3 linked regions of the Lonchura striata genome follow. The protein of the gene in region 1 binds, or shares a complex with, the protein of each later gene. Links are inferred from orthologs where the notes say so. Each region holds a gene or a part of one and is shown in the gene's direction. Other genes may lie near its edges.

Region 1 (7,415 bases):
AGGCTCTGGGCTGCTTTATCTGTCTAGGGCAGAACACAACCTTCTGTGGAACTACATCTTGATTAAGTAGCTGAACAATGCCTGGAAACTCCAGGCAGGTGGTAGAGTGGACAAATGGGAACAGGGACAATCAAGGACCCTTCTGACCTGAGCTCACGTGTTGAACCAGCTCATCCTTGCCCTGGTGCAGCTGCAGCAGCTTCAGCCTGTCCTGGCTGCAGCTGGGCTGGCTGCCATGGCCACTCCTGGCTGCTTGGCCCAGAGGTTGTGGATCCTCAAGGATAACTTGCATGATTAGTTGGTCCGTACTGTGTTTTGTGAAAACAATCAGTTAAAACTACACAACTATTTTAAAGAGTTTTGAAGATATTTGTGTCACCTTGAGAGAACGGGGAAGGAGGGAGCAGTGACATTGGGTGGGTCTGAGAGGGCTGTGCTGGAGGTGGTAAATAGATGCTAGTGCTCATTTGCAGAGACCAGCAGCAGCCCACTTACACTGGCCTGGGTAAAAATGTTTATTCTGGCACAGAGATGCTCTGTGGAGCTGTGTAGGCATTCCCAGTTCAGGGTTTTCTGCAGTGGAAACAACCTGTCTGACATGAGCACAGCAGGCAGTGAGGGCTTGGCTCTGAGCAACACAGCCTGGCTTGAGTTTATCAGTGTAAGGGCATGAAGATATGTTTACATAGTGTGATACCCAGCAGCGAGGCATCCTTGCTTATTTTATGATTCCATCAGCATGTTCTTGACTGATGATGAATGGATTCCTTGCAGGTTAACAAGCTGAAAATGTTTTTGTTATGAAAGAGAGCCAAATCAAACTTTATTGAACAAATACATCTTGGATCTCTGGCTAGTGAGTTTTTCTGCTGTTCAAACATGTTATGTGATGTGAATGAAATTGCAGTTGAATTAGACTTAGCTGTTCATGTAGAATTCACAAGCTGCATTTTTTTTTTTTTTTCCTCACAGCTTTATTTTAGGCAGGTAAGTTATTTTTGGAGGAAATGACAGTTTTGAACAATTTGGCTATGTAAAAGTGATTATTGAAAATAGTATTTACTGGTCCCATTTTATGAAGAAATTGAATCAGTAGCATACTTGGAAATGCAAAAGGGCTGATTCTTCCATGCTTCCCAACACTAACTCCTGAATAAAACACTTGTTTTGTGGTTTGCTTTGTAAAGATGTGCCCTGTCAGGGAGCACAGGGCACAGCTCCTGCAAGCCCAGCCCCAGGACTGTCACCAGAGCTGAGTGCAGCCCACAGTTTGGTACCTGCAATGACTCTACTAACTTTGATCTATTCCCAGCTAATTTGGTATGAATAGTATCAGAACCAGGGTTATGTCTATATCCATTAGTGATGCAGAACAGAGCTTAAAAATAATCTTCCACTGACATGCAGATTTATATAATGAAAGATGGGGCAATTGGAGATTTCTCCAGCAAACTGGTGTTAAACAAGCTGCTCTGAGTTCTCAAGACCTAAAGCCTGTGATGGAAAAAGAACATTTAGACAGATCCTGTATGTGAATGATTTGTGGAATTATTGTTAGTCAAATCTATTATGATGCACTCTGTTCTATTTTCACCTGTTAAAATAAATTAAGCTGTAGCATTACTAAAAACTAAGAACTGCCAAGATAAAAGAAGGAACTGACACATAGAGCATTTAGGAGATTTCTTATACTGTAGAAGGAATTTGTAAAATTTAAACTGAAGTCACAAGCACAGATTTTCTCCATTAAGAACATTTAGTGTGATTCTCCTGTTCTTCTGGCACTCCCCAGGATAATCTACAGTTTTTAACCTGTAGGAAAAATAGAGCCCAAGAGAGCAGACAGCACTGATGCTCAACTCCATATGAGGAGATTTGCTGCCATCTTTTGGTAGATGTGTGTTCTGGAAATTAAAGAAAAATTATCTCTCACAGATACGAAACACTTTGTCCCTCTGCTCATTCTTAACCCACTTGCAGCATCAGCCCCTGGAGGGATTTAAAATTGTGTAGACATGACATTTAGGGACAAGGTTTAGTGGTGGACTTTGCAGTGCTGGGTTAACAGTTGGACTTGATGATCTTCAAGGCGTTTCCAATCTAAATCATCCCATGACTGTGATTCTGTGCACTCAGCCTCTACTGCAGAGGCAGCCTGTGAAAATTAATCTCGGCCAATGATACTCCAAGGAGCTCCCAAAAACCCTGTGCGTGCCTGTGGGGCTGGGAGGGCTCAGTGCAGGGCAGGGGCTGGGCTGGTTTCTTCATGGTCTGGCTGCTCAGAGAAAATCTGTAGGGAACAGGCTGCAATCTCTGCATGTTTACAAGTAATAAAATACTTATTGATGCCCAGAGGTAATAAAATAATATATTTGATCATGTGGGGCAGCAGGAGGTTGATGCATGGGGAGGGAGCAAGGCTGGGAGATAGTGCTCTAAAAATCACCCTCATTGCTATCAGATTTACCTTTGCAGAGGGCAAAGAGCTGAGGCTGCACTTTGGCAGGGGCAGGTTGAGGAGCTGCTGCTCAGGGTGAAAGTGCACCCTTGTGACCTGGTCAAAGGGATGTTGGGGAATGTCCTGTGCCCCTCCTCCCCTCCAGGGTCCTGCCTCTGCACCAGCAGCCTCCTCACTTCCCTTGCTCCTCTGACTCCTGGGGGAGGAGGTTCAATGCACCCCAGCAGAAAGCTGCCCACTGGTTTTTTGCTGGGCTACATTTTTTCATGGGACAGTGAGTGAAATCCAGAGCAGGTTTTGACAGGCCCCAGGATGCAGGAAAAGAGGGAAGGTACCAGCTTCTGCCAGAGAGAAAACTGAGAGGGTGTTGAGAGCTGGCACTTCACCCTGACTGCAACTCAGTGCTCTGGTTACAACACCCACACTCGTAGTGGTGCCTGGATCAACAAAATGACTGTGGTTAGAAGAACTTTCCAAATTTGAAAGAGGCCTCTTGTTTCCGTGGGTTCCTACCCTGGTGGTAGGCTGCACACTTTATTTTAATGTGGATTTGGTATCCAGCACAATTCCTTCAGCCTTAGCTGCCTCAGCTGCCTTTCTAAGGTCAATATGTGGCCACACACAATCCTTTCCCCTCTACCACCCTGTCATTCCTGAGATACCACTGAATTCCACAAGCCACTTCATTTTTTTATATACTTCAGTTCAACATTAAGTTCCTTGCAGGGTTTATTTAGTTGGAACCCTGACCAAAGTTCCCAAGTGCTGTGTGTGTGCTCAGCTGCATGAGTCCAACCTTGCTGCTGGGCTGTGCCAGAGCAGGCACCACGCACATGATGGGGTACAGCCCTGCCACGGCTGTGGGAGCAGTGCCTTTCAGAGAAATGCTGTTGGGAAAGCAAAGGTATGAGCCAGCTAAGAGCACAAGCAGGGAAACTTCCTACTCTCGCCATCCATTGACGCTGTGCAAGGGAGAAAAAGCAGGAAAGAACTAATTAAAAACCAAACCAAAACAATGTTCTCATGAGTGGGATGTAGACTCTCAGCAATGATTCTTTTTTTGATACAGATATCCCTTGCATGGTGGGGGCAGAAGGGTGACCATCAGCAGTTTCCTGGCTGAGATGATTCCCCTGTTTGTCTTGTGGGTGATGCTCTGTGTGTCCCAGGGACCTCCAACAGTGCAGGACTGGGTTGATATCTCATCTTGAAAGTAGCCCAGTTCCACCTCTGTTCCCTCTGATAGCAGATCACTCCCTGCCTGAGTGTTTTGTTACCAGAAGAGTGTTGCTCTGGACCCAGTCCAGCTTCCCTGTGAGCTGTGAGGGCCGATTTGTGTATCTGAGGGAGAGTTAGGAAAGCTGTCAGCTCCCTAATTCATGAGAGCCTCTCCACGCCCCACAGCCAGTCCCCACGGGGGGAGTCATGCTGCCTCGCTGGCCCCTGGCCCCCTGACAGCTCCTTTGGACACTCACCAGATATCACACACAGCCTCACCTGCTCACAGATCCTCTTTCAAATCCTCCCTTCCTCCTTTCCCACCACTCTTGCCTCAACCAGGATACGGGGAATTGAAATTTTAACAAGACGGGGAGTTAGAATTAAATTCTAAATTGAAATCTAGGCAATTTTAATTTATCCAATTCAGACTAAATGGGGACTTTCATCGAATCAGTATGGTTTGGCTGGGAAGGGTCCTCTAAAAGTCACCTCGTCTGGTTTCCCGCAGAGCCCGGGATTCTGGTACCCAGGCGGCTGCAGATGCCCCGGGTGGCGCCGGGGCTGGCGCTGGCGCATCCCGCGGATGCCGCAGCCGCGGGCCGGTGCGGGGAGGCGCAGCCGGGCGCCCGGGGAGCGGCCCCGCAGCCCGGGCCGCCCCGCCCGCCGCGCCGCGCCGCCCGCCGGTCCCGCCCGCCGGTCCCGCCCGCCGTCACGCACCGCCGCCGTCGCAGAGCCCGGGGCGGCACCGGGCAGGGGCAGCCGCCGCCGGAGGAGGCCGAGGCGGAGCGGAGCGCAGCTGCCGCCGCGGCGGGGGCAGGTAGGGCTGTCCCGGGAGGGGGTCCCGGGCCGCGGGGCGATGCGGGCGGCGGGAGCGGGCCCGGGGCACGCGTGGGAGCGGGGGCAGCCCGCAGCGCCCCGGGCGGGTTTGCCCACCCGCGGCCCGGCGGAACGGGGATAAAACGGTGTCCTTACGTAATGCCGAGCCTTGCGACACGGGGGCCTGCTGGGGAGGCGCGGGTGGCCGGGACATCGCGGCCGGCGGGAGCGGGGCGCGGCGGGGTCCCGGCGCCGCATCCCGGGATGCCGCCGGGCGCAGCGGGGCCGAGCTCAGCGAACCGGGCGCTGCCCCGTGCCGGGAGGAGAAGGGTCACAGGGCCACGGCAGCCGTGCGGCTCCTGACGAGCGCTTCAGCGTGCGGGATCGTTCTGCTCCTTCCCGGGAAGCAAAGGTCGAAGGTGGCCGTACCTGCCCGCGTTTAGCACCTTCTTGGCTCTGGCATCCTTTTCACCTCGCTCTTCTGCACCCCCGGCATCCTTCTTGCGGGTTGGCAAATTCGTTCTGATATATACCAAAACCTCAAGTCAAGCAGGCAAACTGATTTATTCTTCCATTTCATTCTGCTTATTCTCAGAATAGAGGTTTGTACTTGTGGGGAATTATATTAGTTTAAAAATCCCCATGTTTCTGCTTTCTGTTCCTGAGCACTGTGGGGCCACAGCAGCAGCTGCCTCAATTCTGCCTTGTCACAGCCCTTGCTGGGAACAACTCTTGCTGGAGGGGGGAAAAGTCTTTGACTCATTCAGTCTTTAGGTATTTGCAAAATAATAAAAAACGGTAACAAATTTTTCAGAAAATGGAGTGGGGCTGACTCATCACCAGTGACCAATGCAGGGTTGCATCTCTGGGGAATATTTATAGTGATTCCAGCAGAAACAGATCCCAGCTTGTTTCTCAGATGCCTTAGTGAGAACAGAGGTGTGTTGCAGTTTGTTTTGTTGGGTACAGTGGATGGTTGAATAATCACCTTTCTCATGATGTTTCACCTGTGAATTTTTGTCAGAAATAGGCTTTTGCACTATTGCAATGACATTCCAGAATAATGCCTCCCTCCAGCACTCTCCATCAAAGGTTTGCACTGATCCACCGTTTCTTCCTGCCCGCATTTTGGGGTTTGTGTATGGGTGTGTGAAGGTATGGGGGACATCACTGTTGGCTGGTGTAGCAGCAGGAGAATGTCCCCAGCCCTGGCACTGTCAGGATGGAAGCAGGATGCACAGCTCAGGCTCTTCTTGGCATCTGCTGCAGGTAGGGAAAAACACATCCACCATTGGTAGCAGATGCTCCTTTTCTGTGTGAGCTGTCACATTGTGCTGGAAAACAAAATTCCATTTTAATTACTCATCCCCATTGATATGGTGCTGGGTGTTCCTGCAGTGGGGCTGGGAGCAAGGGACATGTCCCTTCCTGCATGCGCTGGCCTGGCCCCTGCCATGCTGGGGGCATGGGGTGGGACAGCAGCACTGTTCTTCTCCTCCTCCACAGGTATTTAACAGAAACAGGTTAATTTAACATGTGGGGATGTGGTTCTGTGTTCTTCCCTTGCAGTGTAGTAACTACAGTAGCTACAGCAAGCTGCAACACCCCCTAAGTTAATCAATACTTACATGTCATAGTTTAATAAGGGGTTGCCATACAACACTGCAGATCCTAATGTGTACCCATACAATTAAGAGCTGGCTGTCTCTTTCTTTAATTCCATAATTAGCATAGCCTAAATAATAATATTTACATTTGCTTTTAAGGGGTTTATTTCCTTTATGCTCCTCTCTTTATTGGGCTACAGAGGTACTGCATAAACCCATCTTTAAATCTGCACCTTCATGCATGCAGCTCCAGAGCAAAACTCCAGCAGGAGGGCTGGCATCCTGTGAGTGTCACAGGGATGCTGCATGGCCTTATAAAGCCTACAACAAAAGAAATTGTGGACTCCTAATCTTAAATTTTGAGTCATAATGGTGCATGGATTATATGGTGTTGGCATAGTAGCAAGTAGGGACAAAAAGTATTGTTAAGTATTGTATTTAATAATGCCGAGTATTTACAAACCACGTGCTTTTACTGGCTTCTCAAAAGCCTTGTGAATGTGCCCAACTTGATGTTTGACCTCTGTGTGACTGCGCATGTATTTAGGGGTAAGTGTGCTCTTAAATCTCTGCACAACGAGGCTGCTGAACCTGATCTGAAGCAGACTGTGGGCATGACTTGAAGGGATTTGGGATCTGGACCATAAAACCCAATGTGTGGAGCCAGCATGAGCTCCTCTGGGAGCCTGGGACGTTGTAGAGGGACGCTGGTGCCAAGTGGAGCTGGTTCCTCCAGGCAGCCATGAGACGTGGAGGGAGCTGGGCCCTGCTCTGAGAGCAAAGCCCCATCCTCTGAGGTGTATTGACACCACAACAGACATTGGCTGGGAAATGACACTGCCAGGCTGGGGGCCCAGAAAGGCACCTAAAAGCTGCTTCATTCCAAGGAATAATGTTTCCTTTATTGAAGGAGATAAATGAAAAATAAATTAGTATTCTTTTTAACGTTGAGGCAAAAGACCCTCATGTGGGTTTTTTCCCCCATGCAGACAGACTCTATCTGGTTGCTGTCTGTCCCTCCCAGCTGTTCCTAGCAGCTGTAATGTGTCCACCTTGCAAGTAGCAGCTTTTGCTACTTGCAAAAGTAGCAAGTACTATGCTACTTTCATGCTTTTGGAGACAGGGAGCTGGAATGTTCAGAACTACTGGTACCATCAAGAAATGGTACATGAGTTCAGATTTATTTGGAATAAAATGTGGCTACATAAGGACAAATCCAACCTTTTACTTCCTTAGCTTTCAATCTGATAGACTTCCCTTGTCTTCATAGGAATTTCATTCTTATAATGGACTTGATTCTTATCTTAAATTTT
Region 2 (7,921 bases), on another chromosome or scaffold:
TGGGGGTGCCACAGGCTCCCAGGAAGAGAAATCCCTGTGCTGGGCTCAGCAGGAAAGAGTGGCTCACGTGTCCAGCTCTGCTGTTAAATAACAGCAGGAGAGAGGTTTATTCTGAGCCTGTTAAGCTGGTCCTGTGTTCCACTTAGGCTTAGTCTTTTTATCTCTACCCATCTTCTTCCTCTGTAAGACCTGCTAAACCAGTGAAAAGAAAGGGGTTGAGGTTTTTTTGGCTTCCTTTCCACTAAGCTTCTTGCCACAGCTCCCTGCAAACGCTGCAGGTGAGTGTTGGCCTCTGAGCAGAGGGGAAATACATGTTTTCATTTCCTAAATATAGTTGTCTGTAACTGCTTCCTTGACAACCTTGAATGTCATCCAGGTCAGAGATCCAGTGCTGGGGAGGAAGTTCAACCCTTTCTGTGTCACCCTGACCTTTTTCTATTTGAACACAACAGCCTGGTTCAGGGAGGAACTTTCAAGTACATAGGGAGGGAAAGCTGACAGCAGGAATGGGAGGACTATATCCTTGGGGGCTGTTCTGCTGGTTTTCTGGGTGAGACTTGTGTGATAGGGATGTTTAACCTGCCTGGCTTTGTTACCCTGGGCTGGCTTTTGCACCTTAATTGCAATACTCAGGACAAAAAAAAAAATTACAGTCAATTGTTGAGCACCTTTGTCCTTTGATAAAGGTTGTAAGCTCTTAAATCCTAAAATAAAACAAATACCCTGGTGCTGAGGAGGAAAGAGAACATTGTGTAAGGGCAGGGAAATTAGGCCACTTGGGGAATGTGCTTTCAGGCCTATTTCTGTCTGTCCCAGCGAGCTAGAAGGACACTGACTTTGGGGACAGAGCTCCTGACCCTCCACTCCTTGCTTTGGCACTGCTCCCTGGCTCACTCTGGAGATGGCACCTGTGTCAGCTCCTCACCTGCTCCAGCAACCTGTGGGTGACCAAACTCACCTCAATCCTTCAGCAGCTGTGTTGTGAGGGAAAGAACCATCATGACAATCCTGAAGTCAAAAATTCCTGGGCTGTGCTACTGTGCAGTTCCCTGCTGATTCAGCTCCTCACAAGATGGAGGGATGGGAATCTGTCTTTAATAGATGAAACAAGGTGTGATTTATGGCTGGTAAACCCTGAGTGACCAGTCAGGTGCCAACATCACAGAGGCCAAGAGAATAAAATTTTAGAAGAGCTTTGATTAGGAAAACCTTTCCTTTAAGCTTGGCTCATGTTTTAATTAACGTCATCTATTAACATTTTCAAGAGAAATGGGTTTGGCAAACCAAGCAGCCATTTGGGAAGGCAGTGAGGAGTACAGCTGCTGTACTGCAGCAGGAACCTCCCTGGCTCTGTACAGACTAAGTTTTACTAAATAAAACTACTTTCAACCATTCTTGTATTTCTCTGCTGCTGTTGTTGTTAAGGACACTCCAACTTAAGCTGTTCCACCTTGATACCATAAAGAAATAAAAGCGTGGCTTTTCACCTGCTTTATAGTGTGGTGGCTGCTCAGAGCTTTATGAGATGTAATTAAGGTTAAGTTCATGGAACAGCTCTCTTATATTCAAGTCTGCATAGTTTTGAAGGTCTAACTCCTTGGCACAGCTTGTTTGCCCTGAAATCTGTGTGTTTTGAAGGTTTAACTCCTTTGTGCAGCCCACTGTGCACCCAACTGAGTCCCAGTGAAGCACCAGGACTGGGATCAGGGCAGGCAAAGCCCACAGCTCAGAAGCTGATGTAGCACCTGTGCCCCCACAGCAGCAGAATTTTTGGATCCCTCAAAGCTGGGAGCTGCTGCAGTGGTGGATAAAGTCTGTTTGCAAGGCTCCCTACAGGATTTACTCACGCCTGTGTGAAGAGTGGTCCGTGGAGCTTTGTTCCTGGTGCATCCGCAGAGGAGGGATTTGGGGGAAGTGCTCTCCTGCTGCTGGGTAAACGCCTTGTATTGATGTTCCAGGTGTGAACTCATGACAGCCTGGCTCTAATTACTGTTTTTATCATTTCTAATGACAGGCTTTAGGTTTCCAGGCTGCTTATGGATTTCAGGGGTGTGGAGTGACAGTTGCTCCCCTGGAGCTTAGTGACCTCCTCTGGTCTGTGGGCTTTGGGGATGGCTTTGGCCACCTCCCGCACACAGATGGATTCCAGGGCCCCTCTGAGCCCCGCTCACTCCAGCAGCTCTCTGGGGAGTGCACTCCTGCAGAGTCATCTGCTCTGAGTCACAAACAGCCGTTTCCCTCCCCTGCTCTGCCCCTTAGCCCTGCCACTCTGAGTGTTGCTCCCTCTTCCCCCTGTTCACTTTTCCGGTGGTTTCTAAGCCCCGGCTGGCAGACGGAGCGGTGGCTGCTGTGGGGTGGCCGAGTCCCCGTGATCCCCTGCCTCCAGCCATCTGTCACCTGCCTGTCTTACACTCACGGGGCTTTAGAGGTGACCCGAAGATAGATTTGTACCCCAGTGCTGCGTCCCAGGCTCGCCCTGGGGCTGGGGAGGCTCTGTGCCCCAGGGAGGAGCAGTGTCAGTGCCATGCTGTCCTCTGCCATGGAACTGGAACTCACTGTGATCCCATGCTGTTCCTGGAGGAGTGAATAGGTGTGATGGGTTTGGCCTGGCTCATGGAAAAAGGCTGAGCAGCCCTTTCCTGGTGAGGACTTTTACTGTGCTTGAGGGAAAACCATGTGGTCTTTTAGGCACATCCTTTGTTGCTGAAAACCCTATGGTTTTCCTGAGCTCTTGGCCTTGCTGTGCTGAAGGGGAGCATCTATCCCTTGACCTCGATTTGTCATCTGCCAAGAAGTAATCGAAAAAATCCCATCTGGTGCATGACAGAGATGCACAGTGCTGGGGGATGCCGGGAAACTCGGGGCACTCAGAGCTGGGTGGTTTGTCCTGCCAGAGCAAAGTCCTGGCTTAGCTGCTGGAGGGACATTTCATCCTGTAAAAGGTCTGAATTTACCTTCCAGCAGCTTCAGCTCTGCATGTAATCCTTTGATTCATTGATGATAAGTCTGTGGATGGCACAGTGGCCACCTGATTCCAGGTATCCATTTACCCCACTGGCAAGGTGCTGTGTGGAAATGAGTCAGGGATAAGCTGGGGGGGCTGAGGAACTTCCTGAGCCTCAGAGGGAGGAGTGTCTTACATGGAAACAGGAGAGGTGAGTTCTGAGACAGAGCAGAGCTGTGTTTCCCATGGAAATTGACTTCTCTTGGCCTGAAAAAATGTGTTTGCTAATGCTGCTTCCTGCTCCTAACCTGCTCAGGAGATAAAGCAGGGATTTCAGCCTCCAATCCAGCACCTTTCCCCAGTAGTAAATAGACGTGGCATTACTGGGTGATGTCATGGCTGGAGCACATCCCAGCAAGGCCAAGCCTGGATCAGGTTATATCTGTCCTCTCTGAATATTGGCTTACTCCCAAAGGAGCATATTGCCAGTCCAAGGGCAGTGACTGAAGCCACCCTTCCCAAGGTCACCTCTTGCATGCTGGAGGGGACAGCCTGAGCTGCCCATGCAGAGCAGAACCTCGTGACTCTTCCCTCCTGGCACCACCTGCTATTGGCACCAGCAAGGCAAAGACCCCCAGCCCTCCTTCATGGCGTCATGGAATGGTTTGGGTAGAAAGGCACATTAAAACCCATCCTGCTCCACTCCCTGCCATGGCAGGGATACCTTCCACTATCCCAGGTTGTTCCCAGCCCTGTCCAACCTGGTTTGGGGCACTTCCAGGGATCCAGGGGCAGCCACAGATTCTCTATCCAGCCTTCCTGGTGCTCTGTCACCTGGTTGCCTTTGAAGCAGTGTGAAAAAAGGGACAGAAGCTGTGTCAACACCAGCTCTGTGATGTGTCTGCAAATTACCAGCACTCCCAGTTCAGCACAGCTTGGTCACATCCAGGCCTGGATCTTCCAGCTGGGAGTCAGTGCAGCCTCCCTGGGCGTTCCACGTGGGATCTGTGGGTGGAGCTGCCCCCAGCTGCCACATCTCCTCTGAACAGCCCTTATGTATTAATTGGCACCAATCTGTGTGTCTGTAAATCGAACTTTTTGATCCAATCAGCCTGGAAAGAGATTTCCAGGTGTGAGGGGACATTAACAAGCCAGGGATGGGGTAGTCACAGCCTTTCTGTGCCAGGGCTTCGCCACCCTCAAAGTAAATATAAATTTCTATGTATTTGCTCACTCCCTTTCCCTCAGAACGCACTTCAGTCCCTCACTCCCATTGCAGACACAGAGGCTGTTTCCTACCAGAGCTCACTCCTACCTCGGGCTGTCAGAAGGGGAACCTTCCTCAGCAACAGCTGCACAGGTCTCCTCCCTCTCTGCTGAAGCTAAGACCGCAGAGGCTGTTCCGTCTTCTCCCAGGCATTACAATTACATGGGATTAGGAGGGATAAAATCCCAGAGCCTGGCCGCTTGTGTGCTCACACCACCAGACTCCAGGCTCAGGCCCCCTCAGTGCTGGCTGCTGCCTCTCCGCTATCCTTGCAGAGACCCCGTCGCCCCTCCCAGCCGTTTGTTCTGCCCAAATCATTTGGGTCCGGGCCAAGGCCCTGGGCACGCTGGAGAGCCCGGAGAAGGCCGGGGCTGGTGAGGAACCGTCTGTTCTATGAGACGTGACGGGGCCGGCCGTAGGCGGGGGCTGGGCTGCAGCGCAGAGCCCGCCGCAGGAGCGGCGGGAGGGCCGTCCCCTCAGGCCGTTCCCGTCCCCTCAGGCCGCACCGGAGCCCCCCGGTACCGCGGGGCCCTTCCCGGCAGCCCCCGCGCGCCGCCGCCATCTTGAGGGCTGGCAGCGCGGCGCGCGTCCCCGCTTCCAAGATGGCCGCCCGGGCCTCAGCGGGCGCTTCCGGCCGCGCCGAGGCCGCGGGGCTGGTAACGGCGGAGCCGCTGCGGCCCGGACCGGGCTGGTCCCGCTGCCGCGGCCTCTGAGGCCTCCCGGGAGCGGCACCGGCGGACATGGCGCTGCTGCTGCGGATGGGGCTTCTCCGCGGCCGCTGCGCCTTCTGGCGGCCGCCCGCCGCCGCCTGGGCCCGGCCCCGCGGCTGTGCCCTCGGCGGCGTTCGCGGCCTGCAGGTAACGGGGCGGTGGCGGGGCCGTACCGAGCGCTGGGGGCGCCGGGGGAGGAGAAGAACGGGGCAGAGAGGCGTCCGGGCTGCTCGGGAGGGACCTGTCGCTGTGCCGAGCCGAAGGTCCGGCGTGACAGCGCTGTTGGGCGCGGACTTGGGGAACGCCGTGGAGATAATGGAATGATTTGTGTGGGAAGGGATTTTATTCTTGTCCGCTGCCATGGCAGGGGCACCTTCCACTATCCCAGGTTGTTCCAAGCCCCGTCCAGCCTGGTCTTGGACACTCACAGGGATCCAGGGGCAGCCACAGCTGCTCTGGGCACCTGTGCCAGGGCCTGCCACCCTCACAGGGAGGAATTCCTTCCCAATGTCCCATCCAGCTCTGCCCTCGGAAGCCACTGCCCTTTGTCCTGTCCCTCCATCCCTTGTCCAAAGTCCCTCTCCAGCTCCCCTGGAGCCCCTTCGGGCACTCAAAAGGTCACAGTTTTGTCACCCCAAAGCTTCTCTTCTCCAGGCTGAACAATCCCAATTCTCCAAGCCTTTCCTTGTACAAAAGGTGCTCCGTTTCTCCCATCAGCTTTGTGGCCTTCTCTGGATTTAGGGCTTTTTCTGTGGTGTAAGGAGAACAATGTGGGACTTTGTTTCATGCCGGGTTTTTGTGGGATCAGTTTGAATTTAAGCTGCTCTGTTCTAGAGAGCATCAATCCTGAGGTTGCCATCTTAGGCCATCACAGGCTGGAAAAAAGAGGAGAACCAGGAAAAATGAGTGAGGGGTTTCAGCCTGGTCAGTGTCCCTGGCTGGTTTAGAAATTGGAGCCTGTGCAGTGGAGGGCAGACAGGGAATCACACTGGAGAAGCGACCAGACTTGTGTTGCATGAGACAGTTCATAAATGTTAGTTTAGATGTTGTGAAATTGCACTTAAGTCTGAATATCCACTGTAGGATTCTTGCTGAGTTACCTCAGGGACAGAGCTGCATTGTCCTTGCTCCTATGCAGGAGGATTGAAAGTCTTTAAAATGTCTTTTTTTTGTTAAAAAACTTTCTACACTCTTAAGAACTAATTTCCAATATGCCTTTAGAACAAAAACACAGACATGGAGAGGAAAAAGGATGAACTATTAAGTGTTTCAAGCATGGGTTGTCTATTTCTACTTATGCTTTCTTTGTTCTGGGTTACAAACATTTCCCAAATCAAGTGGGAAATGCCCAACCAGGAATCCCATCCAGGGCTCCCAGCTGCTGTCCTGACACTCACCCACAGCATTTCCCTGCTCGGGAATCTGAGTCTCAGGGAGGCACACACAAAGCTCAAGCAGCCGCACTGCTTTTCCAATTGTTGTCTTGTTTTTCTTTCTCTCCTTCCTCAGAGCCTCCTGGCACCAACACTTGCCCTACCACGTCAAGGTCTCGGCGGAGCCCTGACAAAACAGCACATAATCCGAGATCCAGTCAGACTTTGGAATCTCCTGGGTGAGTCCCAAGGAGCAGGAAGGGAAAAGGTTTGATTTCATAAGAGAATTGACCTTCCCTCTGCATTCCTGAAAGTGCAGCAAAGATCTTCTGTTCCTGGATGTGGGAGCTGGGGTGTTTGCAGGGATCCAGGGTTGTGTTTGGGGACAGGAATGAACAGTGGCACCTTCCCATGAGGAGCTCAGGAGATTAAAGAAGTGCTGGAGTCGTTAGATTTTGTGTTTGTAGCCTTTTTGGCTTTTATTGGAGTGTCCCCCAGTATTCCTGAGAAACCTGTTTTAATTCCATTACCTACATTTCCTCTAATGAGCATTTCCAATCCCAAGTGTGAGGCTGTTCCTAACTGCCCACACCAGTGTTAGCGGTGGCTGTGCCTTGGGAATTGTGTCCATGGTTCAGTACTAAAGGAATTTCTCCAAATTATTTCCCTTGTGCCATCAAAACAGTCTCTGACCTCTGCTTGCCTGCAGGCAGCACCTCCTGGTTTGCTACATCCAGCTCTCAGGGGAGTAGCCAGAAGAATGGAGGATTCAAGAAGAAATCTCCACAGGAGGAGGATGGTATGTGTGTGCCAGAAATTCCAGAATTTACTGAAACGCCGGGAAGGGCATGCAGGAAGGAAGATCCACCTTTGTGCTTCCCTGTACCTGCAATTTCCCCCTGTACAAGCCTGGGGCTAAGGGAAAGTTGGAAGGAGCATTTTGGTTTAGATGATGGAGTGGAAGATACAGGACAGATTATTGAAATCCTGGAGTGGTTTGGCTTGGAAGGACCTTAAAGCCCATCCAGTCCCACCCTTGCCATGGGCAGGGACGCCCTCCAAGCCCTGTCCAGCCTGGCCTTGGACACTGCCAGGGATCCAGGGCAGCCACAGCTGCTCTGGCACCTGTGCCAAGGCCTGCCACCCTCACAGGGAAGGATTTTCCCCTAATATCTAATCAGGGGATGAAAGATCATGGAAGTGACTCTTCATGGGCCACTTTGCTTCCTGTGCAGATTTCCCCATTGCTGGTTGGCTTGGCATTGCTCCTTTATGAAGAGGGACAGTAATAATTACCTGGGTTTTTTTTGTTGTTTTTTTTGACTTAATAAATTTGTATTAACTAAACCCAGTCATTTAAGCTGGATTTGGGTTTATTTGCTTATATTTCATTTATCTTCAGTGTGGATGTGTCCCTACTTCTGGTGAATCACAGAACTTAGGTATAAATTCTTTAAAGAGCTCTCAGCTGTGTTGCTAATTTTTCTTGTTTTTTTTTTTTTTTTTCTAAAATCAGTCTTTCTAGATACTGTTTTCCATGTCTTATTCTCCTAAGCCCCAAGCATGTAAAAATACATTTGAAAATGAGTTTTATCTCCCTAAAAACCTGGGTGACTTGGGTTGGAAG
Region 3 (7,835 bases), on another chromosome or scaffold:
CTGGTTAAAGCTCCAGTCTCATCTTACTTATGCAACATAAAGTATCATGACTAACCAATTCTCAAAATATTTCTGATACTATTCCCTAATTACTTTTCCTTGAACCAGAGGTGGTAAATTAGCTGAACTGATTCCTGGAAATGTCAAGTTGTGTTACAATTGAAATTTCTGTGGTTTTAAAGGTAGAAGGGCTCCTGTAACTCTTAATACTGTTTTTTAAGTATGCAGTATCTCCCCTACCCACAGATGAACCACCTATTGATGTCCTGAAGATTTGTGAGGCCACTGGGAGTAGTAGCTGCATTTTTCCTGGAACCTAAAACCAGGCATTTTAAATGTACTAAGTGCTTTGCCAGCCTGTTGTGATCTATCTGTTGGCAGCTGTTGTAGTGTATAGACAAACCTCTGGGATGCTGCAGGCCCTGGGCACTGCATGGAGGCACTGTGACACATCAGCAGCGGGTTGCCATGCATTATGCAGGGAGATTGAGTAATGAATTCCGGGCAAGCAATGTCACTCAGAAGTTCTGAAATGAAAATGCTAATCACAGCTGTAAAGAGCATGAGTGGATCGAGGCTTTCCTTGTATGACTATTTGTAGGTAATTAGAATGAAGTCATGTGGGGAAACTGCTCCTTTAAGTACAATGTGTGTTGAAGAGAATGCTCACGTAGTGAAGTGAGTTACTACAAGTTCCTAAGAGGAAACCTGGATCAGGGGAAATATTAGCATTTTTTCTTTTTATCCCTAAGTTTACTTATGTGGCCAGTCTATGCCCTTTGAGCTCTTGTATAGTTTAATTTCACACTGCAATCACTTAGTGTAATGAAGGTCTTTCACCATCTCCCCCATTCCAGTCCCCATTCATAAATAAATGCATATCACAGACACAAATCCCAGAGTTCTTTCCAGCTCTTCACTCATCTTCTAGCTCAGCCAAAACCTTGAAGAAAATACTAGGCTGAGTCTTTTCAAGTGCAATGTATCCAGGCTCTGCAGGTGCAGAGTGGGAATGCCCACTGCAAATTCCTGCTCTCCTCACTTAAAATCAAGCTAAGTACCTGTATGACCTCTCCTTATTCTAGCAGTCCTGATTAGCAGAGTCCTTGAGATAACCATGTCCCATATGTGTATTCATTCTTATGAATGTCAAAATCAGTATCCTGGGAATTCACTGTATCACAGTATCAAGTGATGTTCTTGTGCAATGCACTTAATGGTGGATTACTGCAACCTGTATTTCAGTTCTTATTTGCATGGTCCAAGCATGGTCCAGACCCATGAAGAGCATATCAAAATGGGCCACAGACCATTCTGAGTTCCATATAGTTGCATTCGTACAGTAGGTAGATTGCAAAATGCAATCTTATCACATCTGCCAACAGCATCAAGATTAACAATTAACCCACATTCCTGTGTCACGAGTAGGCATGCAGAGGGACAGTTAGAATCAGGAATGCATATCCCCTTTTTATCAGTGCACTGTCTGTCTGCTGGGTAACACCATTTCAAGAAGCTTGAAATCAAAATTCCCAAATTTTAGGTCACCTTTCAAGCACTTAGTCCTCCTATTTCTTTGGAAGAGCCACTTGACTGCTCTTGTTTCCTGGCTGTCTTGGCACAGTGGTGGCAATATTTAATCAGTTACTGAATAGCATTTATGAGGACTTTCAAGTTGTAATATATCAGCATGAAATTATGTTATTGTATCATTTAAGGTTCGTTCTGTGCAGAAATTTCTCTGCTACAACGTAAGGGTCCTTTAGTGGTTTTTAAAATTATCTATTTAGAAACTAATTTCAAAAGGGCCCTCCTTGTTTATCCATCTCTAACTTCTATGTAATTTTGGGGGAAGGGAGAGAGGATGATGAAATCTCTAAGGGCGGGCACCCATATCCACAAGAGCTCTGCTGAAGCAGCTCTTTTGACTTTTGTCTGCACCTGTGCTCTGTTGCCTAACTAGTTTAGTGTGGGTACACTCATTTTCCATTGTACTTATCTCCCTGCCACATGTTGCACGGTTTCGGCGATGAACAAGTCTACAAATGGATGTGTTCAAAGCTCCCCTAAAAAGGAATCAGTTTGCTGAGCTAGCTCTAAGCCTCATTTGGCAGTGATATAGTGGCCTTTGATAGTTTTTGGAGACCTTTTTCTGTCCTTCTTGGAAAGTGACCTCTGTAATTCACAAGTTCCTAGCCAAGCTGTCTGCATGAGTTGTAATTCATCTGACTCTGCAGGAGTAGATCATAACAAGTGATTTAGTAGCTCTATTGCATAAACCTAGAGATAATAATTCAGTCCATATTCTCAAATACAAAAATCACTGCTGTTTTGTCTTCTCACCAAGGCCTGCAAATGAGGAAAACTCCATTGTTTGCTCTACCAAAGACGTCTGTGAACTCTTCTGAACAAAATAGTTCAAAGCTGTTTCACTGTGTTTCCTAAGTGTGAAACAAGATGGTATTTTCTTTTGCTCATCTTTTGTTTATTAAATAATAAATCCTTCAGGGCCAGAACTGACCATTATTTTAGGTATAAACAGAACATCTAATTTTGATTTGTGCTTCCAGTTGCTACTTCAATTAAAACAATATTAAAAAGGAGTGTGAGGGGTTTTTTTTATGATCATTAGAAAATTGATTGATGATTAGATTAACAGAAGTCAAAGTTTACCAAAAGTGGACTTGAAGCTAAGAAGATATGACAAACTAGGTAGGAGTGCTGATTTATCTCTTATTAAAAAAAAAAAAAATCACCTTTAGGTTATTGGTAAAGAAATAGAAAATACAAGCATGGCACTGTATGCACAAAGTAAGTCATTATTCATCCTTATCTTGAACACTGTGCAAAGTGCCTCTTATCCCAAAAATCTGTAAAAGTGGAACAGCTCAGAGAAGGATAATAAAGATGATCCAAAGACATGGAAGAGCTTTGTTATAAATAATCACTGAGTTGGCTGTGACTCCTCAGTCTTGAAATGAGAGAAGAGCTGTAGGTCTGTATGACAAAGATAGATACTGAACAATTTGTCTCCTCCAGCACAAGAAGTAAGGCACATTGATGAAGGCAATTGGAGCAATATTCAAACAGATTCTTGATGCTCTGGGAAGCAGGCCTGTGGAAGTTCATCACCAAGGAAGCTGCTGATTTAAAACTGGTCCAGTGAGTGGATAAGTACATGGGAGGAACAACAACAAAAAAAAAGATGACTACCAAAGTCAGCTTGGGAAGTCCTCGGGAGTGAAAGCAGTAGCAGGTTGAAAGCACACTGGCCTATAATACATCCCTCTCCCCCATTTTCACTCCTCCTTAGGCATTTCTCTGGACCCTCAGAACAAGATGGATCTTTTGACATAGCTTTATATGAGTCTGTAGTTACAGACTGTGGTACCTGCTATAGTCATCCCTACAGCATCAGCAGTTAAGGGTCTCTCTGGAGCGTGTGCCTGAAAAATAGTGTTCGTGCAGGATTTCTCCATTGTTTGTAATTGCACATTATAGTTCTGCCTTGATCTTTGTGGTCATGGCAGTGACTTGATAGCTTTCTGTTGATTCAGTGAATGTCACCAATGAAGGCTCTTTTAGATGCTTGACACAAAGAACTTAGGTGGGATCGAAAGTTTACTTGGTTGCATTACTGTAACTTTCATTAGAATAATTCTGTAATAGAAGAAATGTGAAAAGTATTAGAATCGTGCTTGATTTTGTTTTTTTTAGACATCTTATGGCTTTAAGAATTTGAAGAACTTTTGGAAGCACTTATACCTGGAATCAGGATGGAAACTAGAGAATTCAAAGTAATATCTAAATATGACTGACATATGTACTGAGTACTTTCATCTAAGTTGCTAAATTAAGAAACCTTAAATTTATATGTGTTATTCTCATAAAAAATACGAACGATATTTCCCTATATTAAAGCGGGACTTCTGTTACTCTGTTCTGTAGTCCCTCGGGCAGGTTTGCGGCCGGAGCGCAGGGCGGGCTGCGGAGGATGCTGAGGCACGGCCGGGGCTGCGGCGCGGGTGACTCAGGGACACCCGCCCGCTCCGAGCCGCGTCAGCGCCGAGACTCCCGGGAGCCGCGGTGAGCGACGGGCAGCCCGGCCTCCCGCGTGCGGCGATCCCAATGATCCCGCACCTGGCACAGCTGCGCCGCCTTCCCCGCCAAGGTGCTCTCCACAGTCATTGCGTGGAACGATGAAATTTTAGAAACTCTCCAGTCTCTGCTGGTCTCTGGAGTAAGGACACTGTGAGGAAATGTGCAAAAAAGCCCCACACGCAAACGGACAAACGAGCCCCCCCCACATCCCCTAAACCGCTGCGCAATGGTGGGCGGAGAGGGCGGCACTGAGGCAGCCGGGGCGGGCACGAGGCGTCCTCGGCGCTGGCCGCCGGCTCCCCGCGCTCAGCCCGCAGGGTCCGCCCGGGCCCCGCGTCCCTGCCTTCAGCTCACCGCTCACCGCCCCCCGCCCGGGCCCGCCTCAGCTCACCGAACCCCGCCCGGGCCCGCCTCAGCTCACCGCCCCCCGCCCGAGCCCGCCTCAGCTCACCGCCCCCCGCCCGGGCCCCGCCTCAGCTCACCGCCCCCCGCCCGGGCCCCGCCTCAGCTCACCGCCCCCCGCCCGGGCCCCGCCTCAGCCCGCCGAGCCGCCCCAGCCGCCATGTCGCCCTGCGCCGCCGCCGCCAGCGGGCGCTGCGGCGGAGCGCATAAAGGCCGCGGGCCGCGCGCGTCCCCGCGTTTCCGTGCCTGCGGCCCGCCCGCCCGCTCCGCGCTCGGCCCGCCCGCGGCGATGCTGGCGCTGAGCGCCGCCCGCCGCCTGCTTCGCCCGCCCGGGGACCTGCTGCCGCCGCCGGGGCTCGCCTGCATGTGGGCGGCCGGTACCCGCGGCTGCAGCGGGGCCGGCGCCGGCTCGCCGAACCCGGTGGTGTACTTGGACGTGGGCGCCGACAACCAGCCGCTGGGACGCGTCGTGCTGGAGGTAGGGCAGCGGGGGCTGCGGCGGCTCGCCCGGCGCGGGGCCCGGGACGGTGCTGCGGGGCGCAGAGGGCCCGGCCGCGGGCACGGCGGCTGGCGAGCGGGCAAGGTCAGGGCGGGCAGCGCCGGCTCCAGGGCCGCGGCGAGGGCACCCGCGGCCCGGCGGACGGCGGGGCTCGCCCGGCTGCCGGAGCCGCTGCCCGGCTGCCCTCGGGGCGCCTCTGCCGGGGCGAGAGGCGCTGGTAGGGCTCGGACTGGGGCTGGAAGCGCGCTGCTCTCGCTGAGCGCCCGGCCGGTCCCTAAAGCCATCCCACGGGACGGCTCGGGGGCAGGGCACGGCCCCGGTGTGGCTGGGAGCCTCGAGGGAAGGCCACTTGCACGGTGTGTAAGCAGAAGTACTGAACAGGAATGAACTTACTGCCGTCGTGTACCGCTGGCTTGAGAAGGGCGGGCAGTGTCCCAGCGGCACGGGGGTCCCTCACTTCCCGCGGGGGCTGCTGCTCTGGGGCAGCCGCGCCTCCAGCTCCATCCTGTGTTTTGCTGGGCGCTCCTCGCGCGGTTCCTTGGAATCCTGCGGGTGTCGGTCTCCCGGGGCGCTGCCTCCTCCTCCAGCCTCGGGCTGCACGTGCAGCGAGGCAGCAAGCTCGAGAGCCGGGTACCAGCTGGCTCCATCCCTACAGATCCTGTCTCTGAAATGCTCGGCCGTGTAAAGAAGGCCTGAAGAGGAAAACGTCTGTAATCCCCCTTCTTAAAATAAAAAAAAAAAGGGCCATGAGCACTGTGTGCCACGTTCTGCACACGAGACCTTAGGGCTGGCATGTGTCTCAGATGGATGGGAAAGGTTCTGTGTTCCAGAACCACGCACTGGAGAACAAATGAAGCTCTCAGGAGCGCTGCCTGCTGAGGGTAGTCAGTGTGGCCTTCTGCCTCCAGCACCCACCTTGGGTCTGTATTTGTAGAATTTTTAAAAAACGTTATTCATCGGAGTGCTCTCTAAAAGAGGCTCCTTTGAGACTAGAGTCCAGTATATTTTTATTTATTGATTGTGTTAGCATATGAATAAATTGGACTGTTCCAGCTCTTGTGCTCTCAGGAGGTAGTGTTTCAGGCAGTCATAGGTAAAAATATTACTCTTCAAGTTCCTTATTCATTAATGAAAATCTGGGTGGTATAAAAAATAGCATTAATGTTCCTGTACTCCTTGTGGTAGCATTTAATGTCTATGTTCAAGTTTTTTAGTGTGCCCAGTTTTCAGAAAATCTGAATGAATTGCAGCATCATTTTGAATTTTTTTTGTTAAGTTGTGGTGATCTTCAGCTGCAAATTATAGTCATCTGAGAAGAGTAGCCTGGGGAAGGAACATTAAGTTCTTATTGCAGACATGCTGTTTCTAGGTGTCTGCTGCTGGTCATTGTCAGGATGTAAAACTTTGGTGTGGCTGGTACAGCCACTTTTATGTCCCTTTTAAGGTTAGTAATAAGATGTACAGTAATCAAAATCAGAAGTTTTCATTGGTTGCAAACATGTATGTAACATCATACATTGTTTTTGATGTTCAATTTCTGCTTTTCTGTTTCCTTTGCCTTTTCTGTCGTTTTCAACTTCTGGTTCTGTGCAGGGAGCGGAGGAGGACTTTGGTCTCTCTAGTTGCATCCAAACTCTGATCTTTGGGGTCCATAGTGAAGGTTCTTCTTAGTTACTGCTCAATTATGTATTGATCAATTAAATCATTAGACACTGCTCAAGTGGCTCTTCATTAAGTGGCTAAAAGTTTCATTGAGGGGGTATTTTTCATTGCTGGCCAAATGCTTGGAAAGTTTTGAGGTATTCATGAAGTTTTTGATGTTTTGTGATTTCACATAACTCGCCACTTTGGGAAGGGGTTTCAGTTGTACCATGTAAATGTCAATCTCCCGTGTAAATGTGTTTCTATGTACATTTGAAAAGTCTGACTTATTAATTTGTCTATTTTTAACAGCTGAAAGCTGATGTGGTCCCAAAGACAGCAGGTGAGGCAACATCTTCAGAATTTCATACTTAATTAGTTAAGCTATATATTGCGATTTGCAGGAATGAGAAGGTTATTTTACCCTTTACAACTGTTTTTCATGTTCCATGTCCATTTATTATATGGAGAAATATGACAGGAAGTATTAGTGAGGAAATGGAATTTGTAATTTTCCAGATAGTTTCATTTTGCAGTTTGCACCAAGATAGTACAGTTCATATATTGGGTTAACAGTGCTGAATAAAGATGTTTAAAACCATACTTGCTGGCATTAAGATCAAACCCCAGAGCAAATGGGGAAGGGCAAACTAAAGGGATGGTCTTTCTTAGAGTTTCCAAAGAGTATGTGGGGTTTTATTTTACTGGTCACTAGTGAATTAATTTTGGAAAGTTCTTGTGGTTTGTCATTTGTTTCCTTCCTTGTCTGATTATTTAAGGGTCCTGAAAAAAACTTGTACTTTTTAGTTCCTAGTAGACAAATATCCTTAAAAAGACATAGTCCTCATAACTGCTATAAAGAACAAAGGCATAAAAGTCAGAAAATGAAACCTGTGACTGCAGGCAAAGGTGGAGGGAGTTAGGGAATTGGAATCACAGCAAAATAAAAGGGAGATGAGATGGAAAAGGCTTATGTTTGTACCCTGTTCTGAGGCCAAATAAGCTTTGTTTTCTTGGCTTTATTACCAGGGTTTTGTTAAAGTATGGAAATAACTAATAGATTGATAATACTTTAAAGATGCAATCAAGTTTTTGAAGTGTATAATCTTGGGATATGGTTAATTTAGTTGTGTTTGTATTGTCACGTCCGATACAAAATGCAATACTTCATACTTTGTTTCTACAGAAAACT

Evidence for each region.
Region 2: VDAC1 (region 1) and SPG7 share a complex: the UniProt entries of both Homo sapiens proteins name them as parts of the mitochondrial permeability transition pore complex. The link is inferred for Lonchura striata from reciprocal best matches to the Homo sapiens genes VDAC1 and SPG7.
Region 3: VDAC1 (region 1) and PPIF share a complex: the UniProt entries of both Homo sapiens proteins name them as parts of the mitochondrial permeability transition pore complex. The link is inferred for Lonchura striata from reciprocal best matches to the Homo sapiens genes VDAC1 and PPIF.

Annotation. Positions count from the first base shown.
Region 1 is NC_134617.1:9,727,991-9,735,405, forward strand, and holds the start of VDAC1 (non-selective voltage-gated ion channel VDAC1), read left to right. Parts: upstream 1-4,387; 5' UTR 4,388-4,496; intron 4,497-7,415. UniProt on the Homo sapiens protein: Non-selective voltage-gated ion channel that mediates the transport of anions and cations through the mitochondrion outer membrane and plasma membrane.
Region 2 is NC_134615.1:22,789,084-22,797,004, forward strand, and holds the start of SPG7 (mitochondrial inner membrane m-AAA protease component paraplegin), read left to right. Parts: upstream 1-4,846; 5' UTR 4,847-4,951; coding exon 4,952-5,068; intron 5,069-6,430; coding exon 6,431-6,533; intron 6,534-7,003; coding exon 7,004-7,093; intron 7,094-7,921. UniProt on the Homo sapiens protein: Catalytic component of the m-AAA protease, a protease that plays a key role in proteostasis of inner mitochondrial membrane proteins, and which is essential for axonal and neuron development.
Region 3 is NC_134609.1:8,881,738-8,889,572, reverse strand, and holds the start of PPIF (peptidyl-prolyl cis-trans isomerase F, mitochondrial), read left to right. Parts: upstream 1-4,777; 5' UTR 4,778-4,792; coding exon 4,793-4,981; intron 4,982-6,955; coding exon 6,956-6,986; intron 6,987-7,829; coding exon 7,830-7,835. UniProt on the Homo sapiens protein: PPIase that catalyzes the cis-trans isomerization of proline imidic peptide bonds in oligopeptides and may therefore assist protein folding. Involved in regulation of the mitochondrial permeability transition pore (mPTP).